3 linked regions of the Anolis sagrei genome follow. The protein of the gene in region 1 interacts with the protein of each later gene in a pairwise test. Links are inferred from orthologs where the notes say so. Each region holds a gene or a part of one and is shown in the gene's direction. Other genes may lie near its edges.

Evidence for each region. The genes of interacting proteins can lie anywhere in the genome.
Region 2: the proteins of MID2 (region 1) and FARS2 interact in binary tests that used the Homo sapiens proteins (3 or more experiments, as listed by UniProt). The two-hybrid records come from large-scale screens. The link is inferred for Anolis sagrei from reciprocal best matches to the Homo sapiens genes MID2 and FARS2.
Region 3: the proteins of MID2 (region 1) and DCX interact in binary tests that used the Homo sapiens proteins (3 or more experiments, as listed by UniProt). The two-hybrid records come from large-scale screens. The link is inferred for Anolis sagrei from reciprocal best matches to the Homo sapiens genes MID2 and DCX.

The regions. Positions count from the first base shown.
Region 1 is NC_090030.1:10,913,913-10,921,149, forward strand, and holds the start of MID2 (probable E3 ubiquitin-protein ligase MID2), read left to right. Parts: upstream 1-4,231; 5' UTR 4,232-4,622; intron 4,623-7,237. UniProt on the Homo sapiens protein: E3 ubiquitin ligase that plays a role in microtubule stabilization. Mediates the 'Lys-48'-linked polyubiquitination of LRRK2 to drive its localization to microtubules and its proteasomal degradation in neurons.
Region 2 is NC_090024.1:86,269,677-86,277,250, reverse strand, and holds the start of FARS2 (phenylalanine--tRNA ligase, mitochondrial), read left to right. Parts: upstream 1-4,566; 5' UTR 4,567-4,657; intron 4,658-7,574. Other genes in the region: LYRM4 (LYR motif-containing protein 4), read right to left, coding at 4,400-4,485. UniProt on the Homo sapiens protein: Is responsible for the charging of tRNA(Phe) with phenylalanine in mitochondrial translation.
Region 3 is NC_090030.1:18,943,265-18,950,380, reverse strand, and holds the start of DCX (neuronal migration protein doublecortin), read left to right. Parts: upstream 1-4,108; 5' UTR 4,109-4,735; intron 4,736-5,136; exon of another isoform or gene 5,137-5,161; intron 5,162-5,721; exon of another isoform or gene 5,722-5,814; intron 5,815-6,000; exon of another isoform or gene 6,001-6,132; intron 6,133-6,267; 5' UTR 6,268-6,294; coding exon 6,295-6,658; intron 6,659-7,116. UniProt on the Homo sapiens protein: Microtubule-associated protein required for initial steps of neuronal dispersion and cortex lamination during cerebral cortex development. May act by competing with the putative neuronal protein kinase DCLK1 in binding to a target protein.

The DNA.
Region 1 (7,237 bases):
AGATGAAGGGCTGCCAGGACCAGCAGCTCAGTCAGTAGCTAGCAGGGAACAACAACAGTTGCATTCTGACACTGAGGAAGCTAACCCTGCAGTGCAGGACCAATAGCCTCATTACACTAGAGAAAAATCCACTTAAAATCCAATTTCTGCCTCCTGCAGAACTCTGGGGTTTGTAGTTTAGGGAGGAGCCTTTAACAGCCTCACTAAACTAAAAACCTCAGAATTCTGCAGGATTTTAAGTGGATTTTTTCTCTAGTGTGATGCAAGTGCCTCAGGCAAGCGGGAGTCCTGAGTTAACTCCGGGTCAGGAGAGCAATGAGGCAGAGTTAAGTATCCCAGAAAGACTGCAACTGAGGACTGATGCTATTCAGCTGCACAGATCCACTTGGTTGGCACAGAGAAGGGCCAACAGGTGAGAGGTATAAAGAGTGGTAGTTTGGATTTGGTCTTTGTTAGGAGCAATATTTGGAGTTCTGTCTGATGACATAGTGTGCCTGTTTTGGACCCTGACTTTGAAACTTTGGATTATGCATAGATTTGGATGTTTTGGTGAGGACATTTGACTATGACTTTTGAAATACCCCTGCATTGTTGCTTGGATCTGCATTGGCTTGGATCCTGGAGTGGCTGAATAGTGAGTGACTGTTTTATATTTCTTAAGGTTCGCTCTGCATCTCGTGGTGCCAGAGTGCAGTCTATTCAGCACCTTCCAGGTTGCCCAGTCTTCTGTGTGCCCAGGAAGAAGTCTCTCATTGGGTATCAGCCGTTGATTGAGGTTCCGGGTTTTCGCCTGCCATTTTTGGACTCTTGCTTGCTGAGGTGTTCCTGCATGTATCTCTGTAGATCTTAGATAACTATTTCTTGATTTAAAGTGTTGGCGTGCTGGCTGATATCCGAACAGAGGATGGGCTGGAGATGTCACTGCCTTGGTCCTTTCATTATTGGCTGTTATTTTCCGGTGGATGTCAACAGTGGTACAATACCGGCTAAACAGTATAATTTTTCCAGTGCTGTAGGGTGCAGACATCATGTGATAATGCGGCATGTCTCATTCAGAGCCACATCCACTGTTTTAACATGGTGATATGTGTTTCACGCTTGGTATGCGTACTCAGCAGCAGAGTAGCAAAGCGCAAGGGCAGATGTCTTCACTATATCTGGTTGTGATCCCCAGGTTGTGCCAGTCAGCTTCACCTCACAATTAAACATGAAATAACACTTTCAAACCGGGAACAGAAAAATTTGCAAATTTTGTTACATAGTGTTATCTTATAGCAGCAACATGTACCAATGTTCAGCATCAAGCGAGGTGTTGTAGAGTCCTAAAACACTTAATTCCAGAACAGAATAAATCTTAACGGCACATGCTACGTCCAGCAATGTGCACCATGAAATTAGAAAGTCTGACTTCAAAAGAAGTACTCACAATACTTATGTTTTTGTCTTTTCACCATCACATTATAATGTCTCCTTTGATGTTGGCGGCATCTGCGTCCCCTCCCCCTGTAATGGTAGCACATTTCCCAGGCGAAGGGAAATGCGGAAAACCGTGACAGGCGTGGGGCACCCAATTTTCCACGATACGTGATTGTTTTGGCGTTCTGCTAATTTCTGTCACCACGGCTATGCTTTTTACTCACATTGTTTTACAGAGAAAAGAAAGTAGTTGCAAGGAAATCCAGACAAAAAATATCTGTCTTTAAGACCTAAAAGACATTATGAATTTTTCAAGCTATCCAGATTTTTGAAAATTATTATTAAAGTGCAGCCCAATGACTCTGCTTATTGTTAAAGATTGGAGTAAGGCACTTGAATTAACTTTTTAAAATAATTACAATGCAATAAAACATGTCTTTACTGGCTCATAAATTTGCCATCGGAGTGTTCTGTGGCTCAGCATTGCTTCTATATGGGCACTCATCCATTCCATAGGAAAGTGTGCAGAAACAAGCTTAATGGTGTAACATTAGAAAACGTTGACCATTTCCGCTCCCTTGGCAGCCACCTCTCCACCAAAGTCAACATCGACACACAAATACAACACCGCCTGAGCTCTGCGAGTGCAGCATTTTTCTGAATGAACAGAGAGTGTTTGAGGACTGGGACATCTGTAGGGAGACCAAGGTGCTTGTCTATAAAGCTATTGTCCTCCCAACCCTGCTCTATGCCTGTGAAACGTAGACTGTCTACAGATGTCACATGCAACTCCTAGAACGATTCCATCAGCGCTGCCTCCGGAAAATCCTGCAAATCTCTTGGGAAGACAGGCGGACAAACATCAGTGTGCTGGAAGAAGCAAAGACCACCAGCACTGAAGCGATGGTCCTCCGCCATCAACTCCGCTGGACCGGCCACGTTGTCCGGATTCCTGACCACTGTCTCCCAAACCAGTTGTTCAAAATAAATAAATAAATATAGTTCACCTACAATCAAAGAGCATTTTGAACCCCAGCAATGATAGAATTGCCACACTTCCCACACAAAACCTCCCATGACCAACAGAAAATACTGGAAGGGTTTGGTGGACATTGACCTTGGGTTTTGGAGTTGTAGTTCACCTACATCCAGAGAGCTCTGCCTACTCACACAATGATTGATCTGGACCAAACTTGGCACGAATACTCAATATGCCTAAATGTGAACACTGGTGGAGTTTGGGGAAAATAGACCTTGAGATTTGAGAGTTGTAGTTCATCTATATCCAGAGAGCACTGTCTACTCACACAATGATTGATCTGGACCAAACTTGGCACAAATACTCAATATGCCTAAATGTGAACGCTGTTGGAGTTTGGGGGAAATAGACCTTGACATTTGGGAGTTGCAGTTGCTGGGCTTTATAGTTCACCTACAATCAAAGAGCATTCTGAACCTCACCAATGATAGAACTGGGCCAAACTTCCCACACAGAACCTCCATGATGAACATAAAATACTGTGTTTTCTGATGGTCTTTGGGGACCCCTCTGATACCCCCTCACGACCCCCTGGTTGAGAAACACTGCCATAGATGCAGGCGAAACGTCAGGAGGGAATGCTTCTAGTGCAGTGGTTCTCAACCTTCCTAATGCCATGACCCCTTAATACAGTTCCTCATGTTGTGGTGACCCCCAACCATAACCCTAACATTATGAATCGCCATGTAAATAATGATCTGCAGGATGTATTTTCATTCACTGGAGCAAATTTGGCACAAATACCTGGTATGCCCAAATTTGAATACTGGTGGGGTTGGCGGGGGGATTGATTTTGCCATTTGGGAGTTGTAGTTGCTGGGATTTATAGCTAACCTGTAAACAAAGAGCATTCTGAACCCCACTAACAATGGAATTGAACCAAAGTTGGCACACAGAACTCCCATGACCAACAGAAAATACTAGAAGGGTTTGGAGGACATTGACCTTGGGTTTTGGAGTTGTAGTTCACCTACATCCAGAGAGCTCTGCCTACTCACACAATGATTGATCTGGACCAAACTTGGCACGAATACTCAATATGCCTAAATGTGAACACTGGTGGAGTTTGGGGGAAATAGACCTTGACATTTGGGAGTTGCAGTTGCAGGGATTTATAGTTCACTTACCATCAAAGAGCATTCTGAACCTTACCAATGATAGAATTGGGCTAAACTTCCCACACAGAACCTCCATGATGAACAGAAAATACTGTGTTTTCTGATGGTCTTTGGAGATCCCTCTGAAACCCCCTCACGACCCCCAGGTTGAGAAACACTGCCATAGTTGCAGGTGAAACGTCAGGAGGGAATGCTTCTAGTGGTACTCAACCTGGGGTCCCCAGATGTTTTTGGCCTTCAACTCCCAGAAATCCTAACAGCTAGTAAACTGGCAGGGATTTCTGGGAGTTGTAGGAGAAAAACATCTGGGGACCCCAGGTTGAGAACCACTGTTCTAGTGGTTCTCAACCTGGGGTCCCCAGATGTTTTTGGCCTACAGCTCTCAGAAATCTCTGCTAGTTTGCCAGCTGTTAGGATTTCTGGGAGTTGAAGGCCAAAAACATCTTGAGAACCACGGTGGCATCCTCAAACAACCCAGTTTGAGGATGCCTACAGTAGATAGACTCTTGCAGAGGTGAGGATCCCTCAACAAGAGAGAAACATGTTGGGAGGGGGCTAGGTTTGGGGTGGGCGGGGCTGGCAGGTTTTGGGAGCCACACCCCTCGGAGGGGGGGGGGAGAAAGCCACGCCCCTCTGGGCTCCAGAAGAGAAAGAGACAATATATCGATTAGACCCTCCCCGGCTATTATTCCTAGGCAGGTAGAGGTGTCAGAGACTCCTCTCTGGCTCTGGGAGGCATTGTGAGTCCGTCGGAGAGGAAGAGGAGGAGGAGAGGAAGAGGAGGGCGAGCTGATTTGGGCGGGAGGCGGTCCGCAGGGCTGGCTCGGGCTTCTTCCTTCTCTCCTCCCTCCTTCCTCCCCAATCCCAGCCCTCCTCTCCTCTCCTCTCTTCTTTCCTTCCCTCCTCCCTCCCTTCCTTTCGGAGGCGCTCCTCCTCCTCCACTTCTTCTTCTTCCTCCTCTTCCTCCTCCTCCTCTCCGCGCCTCCAGCAAGATGACAGCCGGGCGGCAGGAGCGGTGGCGTCGGCGCGGAGGGTCTTCGCTCCGGCTGGTAGGTCTGCCTCCCTCCTTCCCTCCTTCCCTCCCCAAAGACCGGGACAAAGAGCCAGAGCCGCCCTTCCTTTCCCTTCCCTCCGCGAAGAGAGTCACCCTTGATTGACTCTCTCTACGGAGGAAAGGGAAGGCTGGCTCGAGCTCCCACCTTCTTGGCCGGGTGGGAGCTTCTTCCTTCTCCTCCTCCTCCTCCGGGAAGGGGCGGGGGTCTCTTCTTCTTCTTCCTCCTCCGACGGGTGGGGCCAAGGGGGCATCATCATCCTCATCATCATCCCCTTGGCAAGAAGTGTGTGTCCCCCCCCCCTCCCTCTTCTCTCTGACTCTCTCACTTCCCAATGCTCAGGAATGTCCAGTTGGAAGCCTGGCTTCCCATCCCATTGGGTTGGACGCCCCCAGACCCCAAGGGGAGGCAGCCTCCTTGGCAAGGGGACAACAAACCCCATCCCTTCTTTAGGGGTATGGTTATCATATGATTGATCTTCCTCCAAGTGGATTAACACAGTGTTTCTCAGTCTTCCTAATGCTGCGACTCCTTAAGACAGTTCCTCATGTTGTGGTGAACCCCAACCCTAATATTTTTGTTGCTACTTCACAACTGATTGAAGCTCTGGACATCCAAAGAGAGGCTTTACCAGATCAAGCTTATCATGAGCAATGGACCCACTCCCATCTATACAAATAATAATATAATCCAGGTCCTCATGTTGTGGTGACCCCCAACCCTAATATTATTTTTGGTGGTACTTCACAACTGATTGAAGCTCTGGACATCCAAAGAGAGGCTTTACCAGACCGAGCTGGAGATGTAGGGGACTTATCATGAGCAACGGACCCACTCCCATCTATACGAATAATAATATAATCCAGTTCCTCATGTTGTGGTGACCCCCAAGCATAATATTATTTTTTGTGGCTGCTTCACAACTGATTGAAGCTCTGGAGATCCAAAGAGAGGCTTTACCAGACCAAGCTTATCATGAGCAATGGACCCACTCCCACCTATACAAATAATAATATAATCCAGTTCCTCATGTTGTGGTGACCCCCCAACCATAATATTATTTTTGTTGCTACTTCACAACTGATTGAAGCTCTGGACATCCAAAGAGAGGCTTTACCAGATCATAGAATCAAAGAGTTGGAAGAGACCTCGTGGGCCATCCAGTCCAACCCCATTCCGCCAAGAAGCAGGAATATTGCATTCAAATCACCCCTGATGGATGGCCATCCAGCCTCTCTTTAAAAGCTTCCAAAGAAGGAGCCTCCACCACACTCAGGGGCAGAGAGTTCCACTGCTGAACAGCTCTCACAGTCAGGAAGTTCTTCCTCATGTTCAGATGGAATCTCCTCTCTTGTAGTTTGAAGCCATTGTTCCACGTCCTACTCTCCAAGGAAGCAGAAAACAAGCTTGCTCCCTCATCCCTGTGGCTTCCTCTCACATATTTATACATGGCTATCATATCTCCTCTCAGCCTTCTCTTCTTCAGGCTAAACATGCCAAGCTCCTTAAGCCGCTCCTCATAGGGCTTGTTCTCCAGACCCTTGATCATTTTAGTCGCCCTCCTCTCGACACATTCCAGCTTGTCAATATCTCTCTTGAATTGTCATGCCCAGAATTGGACACAATATTCCAGGTGTGGTCTAACCAGAGCAGAATAGAGGGGTAGCATTACTTCCCTAGATCTAGACACTAGGCTCCTATTAATGCAGGCCAAAAGCTTATCATGAGCAACGGACCCACTCCCATCTATACAAATAATAATATAATCCAGTTCCTCATGTTGTGATGACCCCCAACCATAACATTATTTTAGTTGCTACTTCACAACTGTAATTTTTCTCCTGTTGTGAATAGTTATGTAAATATCTGATATGCAGGATGTATTTTCATTCACTGGACCAAATTTGGGACATGTACCCGATATGCCCAAATTTGAATACTGGTAGGGTTGGAAGAGGGGTTATTTTGTCATTTGGGAGTTGTAGTTGCTGGGACTTATAGTTCACCTACAGTCAAAGAGCATTCTGAACTCCCCCAACAATGGAATTGAACCAGACTCGCATGACCAACAGAAAACACTGGAAGGGTTTGGTGGGCATTAACCTTGAGTTTTGGAGTTGTAGTTCACCTACATCCAGAGAGCACTGTGGACTCGAACACTGATGGATCTGGACCAAACTTGGCATGGATACTCAATATGCTCAAATGTGGATACTGGTGGAGTTTGGGGGAAATAGACCTTGACATTTGGGAGATGTGGTTGCTGGGATTTATAGTTCATCTACAATCAGAGAGCACTCTGAACCCCACCAACAATAGAATTAGGCCAAACTTCCCACACAGAACCCCCATGACCAACAGAAAATTCTGTCTTTTCTGATGGTCTTTGGTGACCCTCCCCCCGACACCCCATTGTGACCTTCCCAGGGGTCCTGACCCCCAGGTTGAGAAATGCTGGACATCAAAGCATTACCATAGCCGAGGCATGGGGAAACAGAATGGGGTTGGACTGGATGACTCATGAGGTCTCTTCCAACTCTGAGGTTCCAGAGTTGAGGGTCATTTGCCATTGAGAAGGAAGATCTGCTCTCTCTCTCTCGTTCCCACCAACT
Region 2 (7,574 bases), on another chromosome or scaffold:
AGAAAATACCCAATGGATCAATTTCATGTAGTAGTCTGGGTGTTGGACTAAGATGCTGGGTTCGAGTACCTGCTCAGCCACAGAATCCCACTTGGTGACCTTGGGTAAATCGGACTCATTCAGCCACTGAGCGAGTCTGATTCGCCCAAAGGCAAATCCCCTTTAAGCAAATTGTACCAAGAAAACCCCACAATGGGGTCACCATAAGTTGGAAATGACTTGAAATAACACAGCAACAACAAATCAGCACCTTGTTACACTACGACATAGGCAGGGATGCTGCCAGATGAGGTTTTAACTATGCAGTGGCTTTGTTTGTTAATGGAATTTTACAGGCGATTCAGATGTCATCATCTTTGACATTCAGGTTGACAAGAAAGGTTACTCACGTCTTGCCTTATTCTTGGGAGTGTCATCATTCTGGAAATACTCCAGAACTCAAGGCTGGCTTGAGATATTTTATGGCCTGATGCAAAAAATAAAATGCACCCGATTCTGTTTTCCACACAAAAGTCTAATGAATGTGAATCCAATAAGAGCAATGAGGGTCTGTCCTGTAAACCAGCAAGCAAGTTTAAAGGCTATAGGTCCGAGTGCATATTTTTTTTGCTGTTTTGAGTGAACATCTGCTACCTGCTAATGATAGTGACAACCTTTCCAGCCAGGACTCAAGTGTATTAAGAGTCAGTTGCTGTTGTGAGACTTCAAGTTGTTTCCAATGTATAGTATCCCTAAGATTCTGGAAATATTATTATTATTATTATTATTATTGATGATGGCAGGTTACAACATAGCTCAAAACACATAATCGCCATAATTATTATATAATACCCACATATTAAAATGTATTTCTGCAATACATGTACTGAAATATACAGAAAAAAAGATTAATATATAGTGAACACAAGATGTGAGTTTAAAATGCATAGTATTAATAAAATAATCCTGATCTCATAGTGAGATTTGTTCAGATGAGGTTTGCCTTTGCCTCCCTCTGAGGCTGAGAGAGTATGACTTGCCCAAGGCTTCCAGTGTATTTCTTATGGCCAAATAGGGATTCCCTGGCTTCCAGAGTTGGGGCCCAACAGTCAAATCACACTGGCAATACATTATTATGTTATTTTTATCCCAGACATGCACCTCCAGTCTTTTCTGTCCTGCATTTCACAGTGCAAGTTTCTGAAACCATTTAGACTCTTTAGGATTGAATAGCATAGGTTGTTTGAAAGGGGTCATGCCTGGTTTCCCCTCCCCCTTTGAAGAGCAATTCCAGAAATGTAAAGACAAAAGAAAACAAAATTGTTGCTGCCTTTGCCTTCAAAAAGAATAACAAAAAAAGAAAAGAAAAAAAACCCTTTTGCTTCTCCAAATTTGGTCAAGCAGCAATTGCATCAATAACATCCCTATTTATTTGTCGCCAAACTAGTTGCATCCCTCTGCAGTTTTGTTTTACCAGAACTTTTTAAAAACTATTAATACTATTACCATTATGAAGGAAACACTCCCAAGGACGCAACATCAAAATACCTGGAAGTTATCCTGGACCGTGCTCTGACTTATAAGAAGCACTACTTGAATATCAAGCAAAAAGTGGGTGGTAGAAATAATATCATACGAAAGCTGACTGACACAACTTGGGGATCACAACCAGACACAGTGAAGACATCTGCCCTTGAGCTTTGCTATTCTGTTGCTGAATATGCATGTCCAGTGTAGAACACATTTCACAGTTAAAATAATGGATTTGGCCCTTAATGACACATACACATTATCACAGGATAATGTAATAATGTAATAATGTCATGCCCCACATCACTGGAAGAAGTATACTGTTAGCTGGTTTTGCACCACCTGACATCCACCAGGAAGTAGCAGCCAATAATGAAAGGGCCAAGGCAGAGACATCTCTGGCCCATTCTCTGTTCGGATATCAGCCAGCACATCAACGCCTTAAATCAAGAAATAGTTTTCTAAGATCTACAAAGATACTTGCAGGAATGCCTCCACAAATGATAATCCAAAAATGGCAGGCTAAAACCTGGAACCTCAATCTACGGCTGATACCAAATGAGAGACTCCCTCCTGGGCACAGAGAAGACTGGGCAACTTGGAAGGCACTGAACAGACAGCGTTCTGGCACTACGAGATGCAGAGCCTGACATTGCTAATATTAATAATAGTATTTTATTATCATCTATCATTGTGGTATTATTATAGCATTATTATCATTGTATTCATATTATTATGATAAATTATGGTGGTGTCATATTCATCATGGTGGTATTATCACTATGTCATACAATTTGAAAAAGATTCTGTTCCTGGTTTGAAAGTACAATTTCCTGTTAAATTTTGCAATATTTACTTTGAAAGTTGTTATATTTCAGAAACATCATTTTTGTAGCTGCCACAAACTGCTGAATTGGTTGAGACTCAATCAGGTTGCTATAAGGAATTTATTGGTTTGAATCTGTTTTAATCTTTACTTTGTATGTTCTTATTGTATTGTTAGCTGCTTTGAGTCTTGCCTTGGTGTGGGAGAAAAGCGGGGTAAAAATTGACTCCAATAAATAAATATTGTGATTCATAATGCCATATACTATGTAATAGTGTATAATAATACCACCATGATAATAACAATAACACCATAATAATAACACCATAAACAATAATATTGTGTTACATAGTGTATGGTGTTATTATTATTAATCTTGGTGATATAATTATTAATTATGGTGTTATTCTTGTTATTAACCATGGTGTTATTATTCATTATGGTGTTACTATTATTAATTATGGTATTACTGCTATTAATCATTGTGGTATTATACATTCTGGTGTTATTATTACTAGTGATCACAGTGGTATGAATAATAATATCATACACTATGTAACACAATTTAATATTAATATTAATTCTGGTGGTGTTATTATTAATGATGGCAGCAGTATTATTAGTTATTGTGTTATTATTGATCATGGTGGTATGAATAATAATAATAATAATAATAATACCATACACTATGTAAGATGATTTTCATATCATGGTGGTGTTATTATTAGTTATGGTGCTATTCTTATTATTGTTATTATTGATCATGGTGGCATGAATAATACCATACATTATGTAACACGATTTTAATATTACAGTGGTATTATTATTAATGTTATTATTGTTATCATAAATAATAATAATAATAATAATACCATACACTATGTGGCACAATTTTAATATTATGGTGGTATTATTATTAAAGATGGGGTGTGGTGCTCATCTCCATTTCTAAGCCGAAGAGCCGGCATTGTCATGGTCATGTGGCTGGCATGACTGCATGGAGTACCATTACCTCCCTGCCGGAGCGGTATCTTTTTTTTTTGTTGTGTCAGGAGCGACTTGAGAAACTGCAAGTCGCTTCTGGTGTGAGAGAATTGGCTGTTTGCAAGGACATTGCCCAGGGGACGCCCGGATGATTTGATGTTTTTATCATCCTTGTGGGAGGCTTCTCTCATGTCCCTGCATGAGAAGCTGGAGCTGATAGAGGGAGCTCATCCGCCTATCCCCGGATTCAAACCTGCGACCTGTCGGTCTTCAGTCCTGTCGGCACAGGGGTTTAACCCACTGCACCACCGGGGGCTCCTTGCGGTACCTATTGATCTACTCACATTTGCATGTTTTTGAACTGCTAGATTGGCAGAAGCTAGGGCTGACCAAGGAAGCTCACGCCATTCTGAGACCTTTCGGTCAACAAGCTCAGCAGCTCAGCGCTTTAACCCACTGTGCCACTACTTATCATAGTGGTATGAATAATAATAATAATACCATATACTATATGACACAATTTTAATAATATAGAGGTATTATTATTAATTATGGTGTTACTGTTAATAATCATGGTGTTATTATTAATTATGGTATTACTGCTATTAAGCATGGCGGTGTTATTAATTATTGTGCTATTATTACTACTTAACATAGTGGTATGAATAATGATAGCATGAACTATGTAACACGATTTTAATGTTGTTATTATTATTGATCATGGTCGTATTATTGTGTTGTTATTATTGATCATGGTAGTATTATTATTAATTATATTGTTGTTATTATTGATCATGGTGGTATTAGTTAATAATAATTACAAGGACACCACCATGAAGAAGACACTTCCAGGTGAAGGGTCCTTAGCTCATAACAATAATAAAAATAATAATAATAACTGTATTAGCTCTTGAAGTTTTCCCACCCCGATCAGTGGATTTCTGAGGATAACATGAGGCTAGGAAGCATACTTTCTACATTCACTGGTGCCTATAAGGGATGAAGGAAACCCTGTGGACAGGGAGGCCTTTCTGGGCGTGGGGACGGGGCCGAGGCCTCTCCTCCTCCTCCTCGTCCTACCTGTACCCGTAGGCGGCGAAGGCCTGGCTCTCCCGCAGGAGGGCCCGGTAGAGGCGCAGCGCCTGAGCCCGCCGGGCTGCGGCCATGTTGTCAACACACGCGGAGGCCGCCTCCAGGCCCCGGCGCTCTTCTTAGGCCCTCCCTCCTTCCTTCCCTGCCTTTCCTTCCTTCCTCGAAGGCCGGTCCCGGAAGAGGAGGGCCCGGCGCTGGAAAGCAGCCGGCCGAGTCCCGCGTGGAGGCCGTGGGAGGAAGAGGAAGGTGAGTGGGAGGCGGGCGCGCGAGCCACTGGGCCTCCCTCCTCGCTATGCACTCTGGTGCAAGCCTGTAGCCAAGGGGCGGGTGAGGGGTGCAAACCAACCCCGAAAAGTTGCAAGTCAACCCAATCTATATAAATAAAAATGTAATGCTTGTTTGTGGGATTAACAGAACTCAAGAACCACTGGACGAATTGACACCAAATTTGGACACAAGACACCTAACAACCCAATGTATGGCCTTCACTCGAAAAAATTGATTTTGTCATTTGGGAGTTGTAGTTGCTGGGATTTATAGTTCACCTACAATCAAAGAGCATTCTGAACCCCACCAATGATGGAATTGGGCCAAACTTAGTACACAGGGCTCCCATGACCAACAGAAAAGACTAGAAGGGTTTGGTGGGCATTGACCTTGAGTTTGGGAGTTGCAGTTCACTTACATCCAGAGACACTGTGGACTCAAACAATGATGGAGTTGGACCAAACTTGGCACAAACCTATATAGATTTGTCAACTCCATCATTGTTTGTGTCCACAGTGGTCTCTGGATGTAAGTGAACTGCAACTCCCAAACTCAAGGTCAATGCCCACCAAACCCTTCTAGACATGGCATACAGGACTTCCATGACCAACAGAAATATATATATATATATATATATATATATATATATATATAGATTTGTGCCATATATATATATATAAATGCTCTGTGCATAATGAGTACCTTAAAAACAAAAGAGCCAATGAACAAAATCACACCAAATTTGGCTACAAAACATCTCACAACACAAGGAGTGACCATCACTCAAAAAATTATGATTTTGTCATTTGGGAGTTGTAGTTGCTGAGATTTATAGTTCACCTACAATCAAAGAGCATTCTGAATTCCACCAATGATGGAATTCATCCAAACATGGCATACAGGACTTCCATGACCAACAGAACACACTGGAAGGGTTTGGTGGGCATTGACCTTGAGTTTGGGAGTTGTAGTTCACCTACATCCAGAGAGCACTGTGGACTCAAACAATGATGGACCAAACTTGACACTAATATTCCATATGACCAAATATGAACACAGATGGAGTTTAAGGGAAATAGACCTTGACATTTGGTAGTTGTAGTTGCTGGGAATTATAGTTCACCTACAATCACAGAGCATTCTGAACTCCACCAATGATGGAATTGAACCAAAGGTGACACACAGGACTCCCATGACCAACAGAAAAGACTAGAAGGGTTTGGCAGTCATTGACCTTGTAGGAGTTGTAGTTCACCTACATCCAGAGACCACTGTGGACTCAAACAATGATGGATCCGGACCAAACTTGGCACAAATATGCCATATGCTCAAATATGTACACAGGTGGAGTTTGGGGGGGGGGGGGATAGACCTTGACATTTGGTAGTTGTAGTTACTGGGATTTATAGTTCACCTACAATCAAAGAGCATTCTGAATTCCACCAATGATGGAATTCATCCAAACATGGCATACAGGACTTCCATGACCAACAGAACACACTGGAAGGGTTTGGTGGGCATTGACCTTGAGTTTTGGAGTTGTAGTTCACCTACATCCAGAGACCACTGTGGACTCAAACAATGATGAATCTGGACCAAACTTGACACAAATACTCCATATGCCCAAATATGAACACAGGTGGAGTTTGGGGGGAATAGACCTTGGCATTTGGTAGTTGTAGTTACTGGGATTTATAGTTCACCTACAAACAAAGAGCATTCTGAACCCCACAAACAACAGAATTGGGACACATTTTCCACGCTGAACCCCATCACCAACAGAAAATACTTGAGGCCATCTAGTCCAACTCTCTTCACCAGGGCAAGAAAATCTAATCAAAGCCCTCCTGACAAAGAGCCATCCAGCCATAGATATATATAGATAGATATGATTCACACACACACACAGATGTAATATCATAGATTTTAAAGGGACCCCTAAAGAAGGACAATAATATATTGCATTTTCCAGAGTAGGCAAACCGGACACTTTCCACATCAACACTGACAAAGAGACAACAAGAAATACTGTTTACCCACAAGCATAAAGAAATTACATAGATTACATCTTTGATGACCCCTCTGACACACCCTCACGACCCCCCCCCGAGGGGTCCCAACCCCCAGGTTGAGAAACCCTGCCGTAGCCAAAGGGGCGGTTTAGGGGTTCAAACCAACCCCAAAATGTTGCAGGTCAACCCAATCCCAAATATATGAGAAGCAAAAATTAGAGTCCCTCCAGAACTACAAGCACTACCTCCACCCAATTTTGATTAGTCGCACTGTCATTACCCACCTTTCTACCCATTTAATAATAATAATAATAATAATAAACTTTATTTATACCCCACCACCATCTCCCCAAATTGGTGACATAGTGAAAGCGACCGAGTTGGTTTAGTAAAGGTAAAGGTTTCCCCTTGACACTAGTCGAATCCGACTCTGGGGAGTAGTGCTCATTTCCATTTCTAAGCTGAAGAGCCGGCATTGTCTATAGACACCTCCAAGGTAATGTGGCCAGCATGATTGCATCCAGCACCATTACCTTCCCGCAGAAGCGGTACCTATTGATCTACTCACTTTTGCATGTTTTCAAACTGCTAGGTTGGCAGAAGCTGGGGCTAACAGCGGGAGCTCAGCCCGCTCCCCGGATTCGAACCACAAACCTTTTAGTCAGCAGGGTCAGCAGCTTAGTAGTTTAACTGAGGTGTCTACTACTGCTTCATCTAATCCAGTGGTTCTCAACCTGTGGGTCCCCAGGTGTTTTGGCCTACAACTCCCAGAAATCCCGGCCAGTTTGCCAGCTGTCGGAATTTCTGGGAGTTGAAAGTCAAAACATCTGGGGACCCACAGGTTGAGAACCACTTATCCAAGCCCTGCCGAATAATAATAATAA
Region 3 (7,116 bases), about 8.0 Mb from region 1:
AGCAACTACAACTCCCAAATGACAAAATCAATTCCCTCCCCAATCCAAATAAATTTTGGGTGCATTGGGTGTTTGTGCCAAATTTGGTCCAGTGAATGAAAATACATCCTTCCCAGAATAAGGACTCCCAAGCAATATGTCCCAAATGCACTTTATGAGAGATTTAGAACCTATCTCTAAAATAGCCATCCTATTTCCCTTGGACATGCCCAGCATTTTTAAATTTTAAGCCTTACATTTGGCCCTGCCACAGGTTTTTAAATGCATCGTGTCATTATTGTATTGTTTTGCTTTGTTATGAGTTATTTATTGTTGTATTGTTGTTGTTATGTTTTATTATGTATTTTGGGCTCGGCCTCTTGTAAGCCGCACCGAGTCCTGTGGGAGATGCTGTCGGGGTATAAATAAAGGATTATTATTATTATTATTATTATTATTATTATTATTATTATCCTGTATGTCAGATATTTACATTACGATTCATAACAGTAGCAAAATTACAGTTATGAAGTAGCAAAGAAAATAATTTTATGGTTGGGGGTCACCACAACATGAGGAAAGGTATTAAGGAGTCACGGCATTAGGAAGATTGAGAACCACTGCTGTAAGACAACCTAGGTCATTCACATAGATGGATAGTAAGGATAACACATTAAGTCTAAACTGTACCACTAATGCAGTTTGACTCCACTACTCCTGCCATGGCTCAATGCTTTGAAATCCTGGGAGATGTAGTTTAGTGAGATAGCAACATTTTTTGGCAGAGAAGGCTAAAGATCCTGCAAAACTGCAGTGCCCAGCACTAAAGAGCATTGAACCACAATGGTTAAAGTAATGTCAAACTGAAATAACTCTGTGTTTTCGAAGTCTTTCATGGTCGGAATCACTGGGTTGCTGGGAGTTTTTTGAGCTGTATGACCATGTTCCAGAAGCATTTTCTCCTGACGTTTCACCCACACCTATGGCAGGAATCCTCTGAGGTTGTGAGGATGCCTCAAAAACCTCACAATCTCTGAGGATGCCTGGCATGGATGTGAGTGAAACGTCAGGAGAAAATGCTTCTGGAACATGGTCATACAGCACAGAAAACTCATAGCAACCCTGTAATAACTCTGCCACGTAGATGCATTTTAAGACTACCATGTATTGTTTCTGTCTCCCATGAAATTTAACCAGTGGTCATTTACAATTACCAGCTCTCTCTGTGCAGACCCCACCCCCTAAATAAAGGGGGGAAAACGGCTCTCTCTTTACTCAAATATAATTGCTCAGGGAAAAAGAGCGTCTCTTTGCTACTGCTCGGAGGATAGAGCGCTTCCTTCATTTAGGCCAGGTAATTGAATCCAAGGAGCTATATTTAACATACCTCTTTATCTAAATGAATTTATTGATGGGGAGGAAAATGGATGCGCTGCCAGAGACTCTGTTGCTGACCGTGTCGGAAATGATTAAGTTGATGGCTTCACAAAAGCTGCTTGGCTCCCTGTACCTCCCCATCGTCCACCCGCACAGCCGGCAGAAAAGGATGTAATCAAGGGGAGCCACATCTCCAAGGGTGGCTGGTAGCATCCCAGAAAGCATCAGACAGGAGTTGGTCCAGCTAGGGATTTTGTATCCACCCAATCCTGGTCAACCCTAGGACGAATGTACTTGCTTATTCAGGTTGAACACTGGGATGAACAGCCAAGCTAAGAGGGGATGCAGCAGTTTGTTTTTGCCAGAGTCTCCTGGGAAGGGAGGCCTGTTAGCGATAATCATAGCATTGTAGACTCATAAAGTTGGAAGAGACTTCTAGGGTCATCCAATCTAACCCCCTTCTGCCAGTAAAGCAGTGGTTCCCCAACCATTTTTTTTAACCAGGGTCCACTTTGACAAGAGGCCACTTGACCAGGGACCACATTCCAACATTAGTACCAAAAGGGTTATGAATCAATGTATTGTCGAAGGCTTTCATGGCTGGAATCACTGGGTAGTTGTAGGTTTTTTCAGGCTATATGGCCATGTTCTAGAGGCATTCTCTCCTGATGTTTCGCCTGCATCTATGGCAAGCATCCTCAGAGGCAGTGAGGTCTGTTGGAACTAGGAAAATGGGTTTATATATCTGTGGAAAGACCAGGGTGGGACAAAGGACTCTTGTCTGCTGGAGCTAGGTGTGAATGTTTCAACTGACCACCTTGATTAGCATTTGATAGCCTGGAAGTGCCTGGAGAAATCTTTTGTTGAGAGGTGATTAGATGTCCCTGATTGTTTTCCCTCTGGAAAATCTGGCTACCTGTTTTAAAAAACTCTAAAATTAAAACAGCAAAACAGCAGATCAATATAATAACAATTAAAACAATATGTAAAACATTCATTAAACCAGTAAAAAAACAGTATTAATAGCCATCTGCTCACCCACAGAAAACCATATTTAATTAGTCTCAGCACTATAAGGGGTTTTTGTGAGACCAGCTGCATTCATTGCAATGGTGTAGTAATGGTGAGTCTGCAAACCTATTTTAGTTCTTGGGGACCACTGGTGGTCTACACACCACAGATTAGAAACCACTGCTCACTCACAGAAAACCGTATTTAATAAGCCTCAGCACTGTAAGAGGATTGTGCGAGACCAGTCGCATTTGTTGAAATTCGTCCATGGACCATATTTTAGTTCTTACTGACCACTGGTGGTCCACAGGCCACAGATTGGAAACCACTGCTCGCTCACAGCAAACCATATTTAATAAGCCTCAGCATTATAAGAGGATTTTGCGAGACCAGTTGCATTCATTGAAATTTGTCCACGGACCATATTTTAGTTCTTATGGACCACTGGTGGTCCACAGACCACAGATTGGAAACCACTGCTCACTCACAGAAAACCATATTAATAAGCCTCAGCACTATAAGAGGATTTTGTGAGACCAGTCGCATTAAAATTCGTCCACGGACCATATTTTAGTTCTTGCGGACCACTGGTGGTCCGTGGAGCACAGGTTGGGAACCAATGCATTAAAGAATACAGAATCCGAACACTCCTGGCAGAATCTATCTAGGCTCCAGAGAAGTGGACTCCACCAGACTCCAAATCATCAGTGGATTTCACTATCAAAAGCTCTGACTGCATGATTTTTTCCCACTTTTGTTTGGATGGAATCTCTTTTTTTTTGCAATTTAAAGCTATTGCTCTGTATCGTAGTCTCTGAAGCGATGGAGAACACATCTTCCATGTGACCTTCTTGTGTTAAAACAGGTAATGGCCAACTTGGGCCCTCCAGGTGTTTTGGACTTCAACTCCCACCATTCTTAACAGCTTCAGCCCCATACTTTCGCTCCTCAGCGGCTTAAGCTGAGGCGGCTGAGGGGGGAAGGGAAAGGAAAGGGCCTGAGGCTGTTAGGAATGGTGGGAGTTGAAGTCCAAAACACTTGGAGGACCCAAGTTGGCCTATGACTGTTTTAACACAAGAAGGTCCCACGTGTTAGCCTTTTAACACAAGGCTATCATGTCCCTTGTTCATGAGATTCATGAGGTCACGAAGAGTCAGAAGCAACTGAACGAATGAACAACAACAAATCATGTCCCTTCTTTGCTATTTCTTCTCCAATCTAAACATACTCAATTCTCTAATTCCTGGTTCCCAGACCTTTGACCTTTTTGGACAGCCTCCAGTTTGCCCATCTCCTTCTTGAATTATGGAGCCCAGACCTGGATGCAATATTCAAGGTGGCCTAATCAGAATAAAGTGGTATTATTCCTTTCCTTGATTTGGAAACTATCCTCCTATCGATGCAGCCTAGGTTATGATAATACACACACTATGCATTTACTTCATCTTCACTGTTATTATTTATTTTATTTTAATTTATTTATTTGAATTGTGGTGAAGTGATCAGCAACAACCAATGCTCTGTCCTCCAGATGTGACTGGACTTCAGTCTCCGCTGTCCCTCATCGAGGGCTCTGTGGCCTAGGGCTGATGGGTGCTGCAGTCCGAACACAACTGGCGGCCGCTGCTGCTCTGAAGACTGGTGCTGCTGTTGGCAAGGAGCCCAGACCGTTGCTCTCGCTGGGGATTGGCGTTGGCTGGTGATGTCATGCATCTGCAGAGCCATAAACTTGGGGTCCTTGGCGAAAGCCAGCAAACTGTCTCATCTCCGTATGTTGGGGATGACAGTCCGGTTTGTTGTGTGAGCACAAACCAGAGAGGACCAGGCGACATCACAACTTGCTCACCCTCTTCTTTGATTTGCATTGTCCGCAAGAAAGCTGTGATTTGGGCCGGAGTCAAGAATCGAACTTTCTCCACTTGCCACACCTTCACAGACTGAGTGACCATGCAGTGGCACCAGCTTTTTCTAGCTGGCACTGGAGAATCATGATGGTAACGCTCTTGGAAAATTTGGGAATAAAACAGTGAACAATGCCCCCCGAACTGGAGCTCAGTCACCTCTCTGCGGCCATTTGAGGAGCCCCAATCCAAAGGGGTGCTGCACCTCTTGAAAATCTAGAGTGAGAGTGCCTTCCAATGGCAATCCACCCTGACGGCAAAGCTCGCTGAGGCCAGATCACCCTTTGCAGAAGGGGCCCTGGGTGTGTGTGTGTGTCAGTGTGTGTCTGCACACACAAGGCACTAGGACCTAGGAGGAGTCCCGGCAAATCTGGCAGGAATTTCTTGCTTGGAGCTCAGACAACAAAGGCAGAGTGTGGCTGGCTTTCTCTCTCTCAGCATCTCCACCCTGCAAGAGCTGAAAACCGGTAAGTATTCCTTGGAAGCCTTTCCAGGCAGAGAAAGCAGCAGAGATGGGATGCCAAAGGCAGGGGAAGGAAAGAGAGAGTCAGGCTGGAGATGAAGGAGGTCCACGCCCCATCCAAAGCTCTGGCTTTTCAAAGTTGCATTGAGCTCCCATTGTTTCCAGTGTGATGTTTAGAGAGCAGCGAAGTAGTGCTGGGTTTGGGTGGGGATGATTTTTTTGGCAACTCTGGTGAAGGAAAAGCAATGGGAAGCTCCCTTCCCTGCATGACAGGAGTGAAGGTCAGGGACAGGTCACCGTGACTCCTCGAAAAGGAAGGCAGAGACTCTGGCAGAAGGCAAGCAACAGCTTTTCTCAGGATTTGTACCTGATCACCCAGCCTTGAGGTTTTTAATCCCATTTCAGCTGTGCGAAGCTGCGATGAGCAGATGTGAGTTGCATGCTAATAGCCTTGGACAGCCAAGAGTGATCGGGCTCATAGGTTTCGTGGGATCCCTTTGGAGGGGCTGGGATCCTTTGCATCTCCAGCTCATACCTGAGATGATCCCTGTCACTCCCCTTTTCCACACTATTCGCACACTGAACTAAGGCGCTTTCCCAATTCCACTAAGCGTGCGCTCAGAGCAGTGAACAATGAAAGGTGCTCTTGCGGTGGCGTGATGAGACTGCATCTGTCAGACACCTTCAGCAATTAAAATACACTTCATTAACAGGAAAAGGAAGGGTGCAGGGAGAAGTAACCATATTCTCCAATTGAATGACATCTGGTGTCAATATCATTTCATATCAACTCACCCACTGCTCTTGAATACGGTCCCCGCCCCATACTTTTTGTCTGAATTTCTAGGATTTCAAGGGTTTTCATAGGGAGTGGTGACTCTGGAGATGTGAGTAAGTGAGATGTGACTGCTCTTCTGGCTTTCAGACACTCACAAAGGATACAGCATTGTTGCCGTATCTCTGTCCAGCCATCAGCCATTCCAGTTTGATTCTCATTTGAAAGGTCCCTTTGGCTCAGGCTGTCTCTCCATCAGCATCTGGATAGGTTTGATACCCGAGCACAGGTTCTCAAGTCTTTGGAAGGTGGGATTCCTCTCTTCATTGTTGGTTCTATCCATCTACCGCTGAAGGGAAGTTTTGCATCAAAACTGCGGGGAACTTCATTCAGTTCAAACTGTTTGTAGCTGGCATGCATCCTGAAGTGACGCCCACAAACCTCTCCATCACATTCTCCTATTATTAGAAACCCAGGGTTGAGCCAGAGATAGAAATCCTTTGGTTCCAGGTTGTGTATCATTCAGTCAATTGTGTTGTTGAGATAGGACCCTCCCATTCCCTGTGCCTTACTCCCAAAAATACACAGAGGAGGGGGAAGTCCTTTGTGGCATCAATCCAAGCAAAGTAAGACATTGGGCAAGGCTTCGTTTTATTGGAAAGCACAAAGTTTAGCTTGAAGATCTGCTGTTAACAGTGTTTTCCTCTTTCTAGCTGACTATATTTTGTTTCCTTTGCACTCTTTCCTCCTCCACCTCCCAGCTTCACAACTTCAGGGCTCACCGAGCTATGGAACTTGATTTTGGACACTTTGACGAAAGAGACAAGGCGTCCAGAAACATGCGAGGCTCCCGGATGAACGGCCTGCCGAGCCCCACTCACAGTGCCCACTGCAGCTTCTACCGCACCCGGACCTTACAAGCCCTGAGCAACGAGAAGAAAGCCAAGAAGGTGCGCTTCTATCGCAATGGGGACCGCTACTTCAAGGGCATTGTGTACGCCGTCTCTGGAGACCGTTTCCGGAGCTTCGACGCCTTGCTTGCCGACCTGACCCGGTCCCTGTCCGATAACATTAACCTGCCTCAGGGAGTGCGCTACATTTACACCATCGATGGCAACAGGAAGATTGGGAGCATGGATGAGCTGGAGGAAGGTAATGAGCTGCAAGCGATGCTGGTGCATGGAGGGTGGAGAACACTGCAAGCCTTGATGCTTCACGCATTATGAGCTGAGCATGCCTCAGGTTAGGGTGCATGAATGTCAGTGGAGGGTATACTATACCCATTGATTCACCTCCCACAGCATTAGAGTTCATTCATAAATTGGAGTTTCTTATATTCTTGATTCATCTAGATAAGGGAAGTTGGGAATATGAACAATGGACCTCAGAGGAAGATTTAGATTAAATCTTTATGGAAAATATCAGAGACCGGATGTGGGATTTCCTGCAAATAAATCATGTGGGTTGTTGTGAATTTTCCGGGCTGTATGGCCATGTTCCAGAAGCATTATCTCCTGGCATTTTGCCTGCATCTATGGCAGGCATCCTCAGAGGTTGTGAGGTCTGCTGGAAACTAGGAAAATGGGGTTTATATATCTGTGGAATGTCCA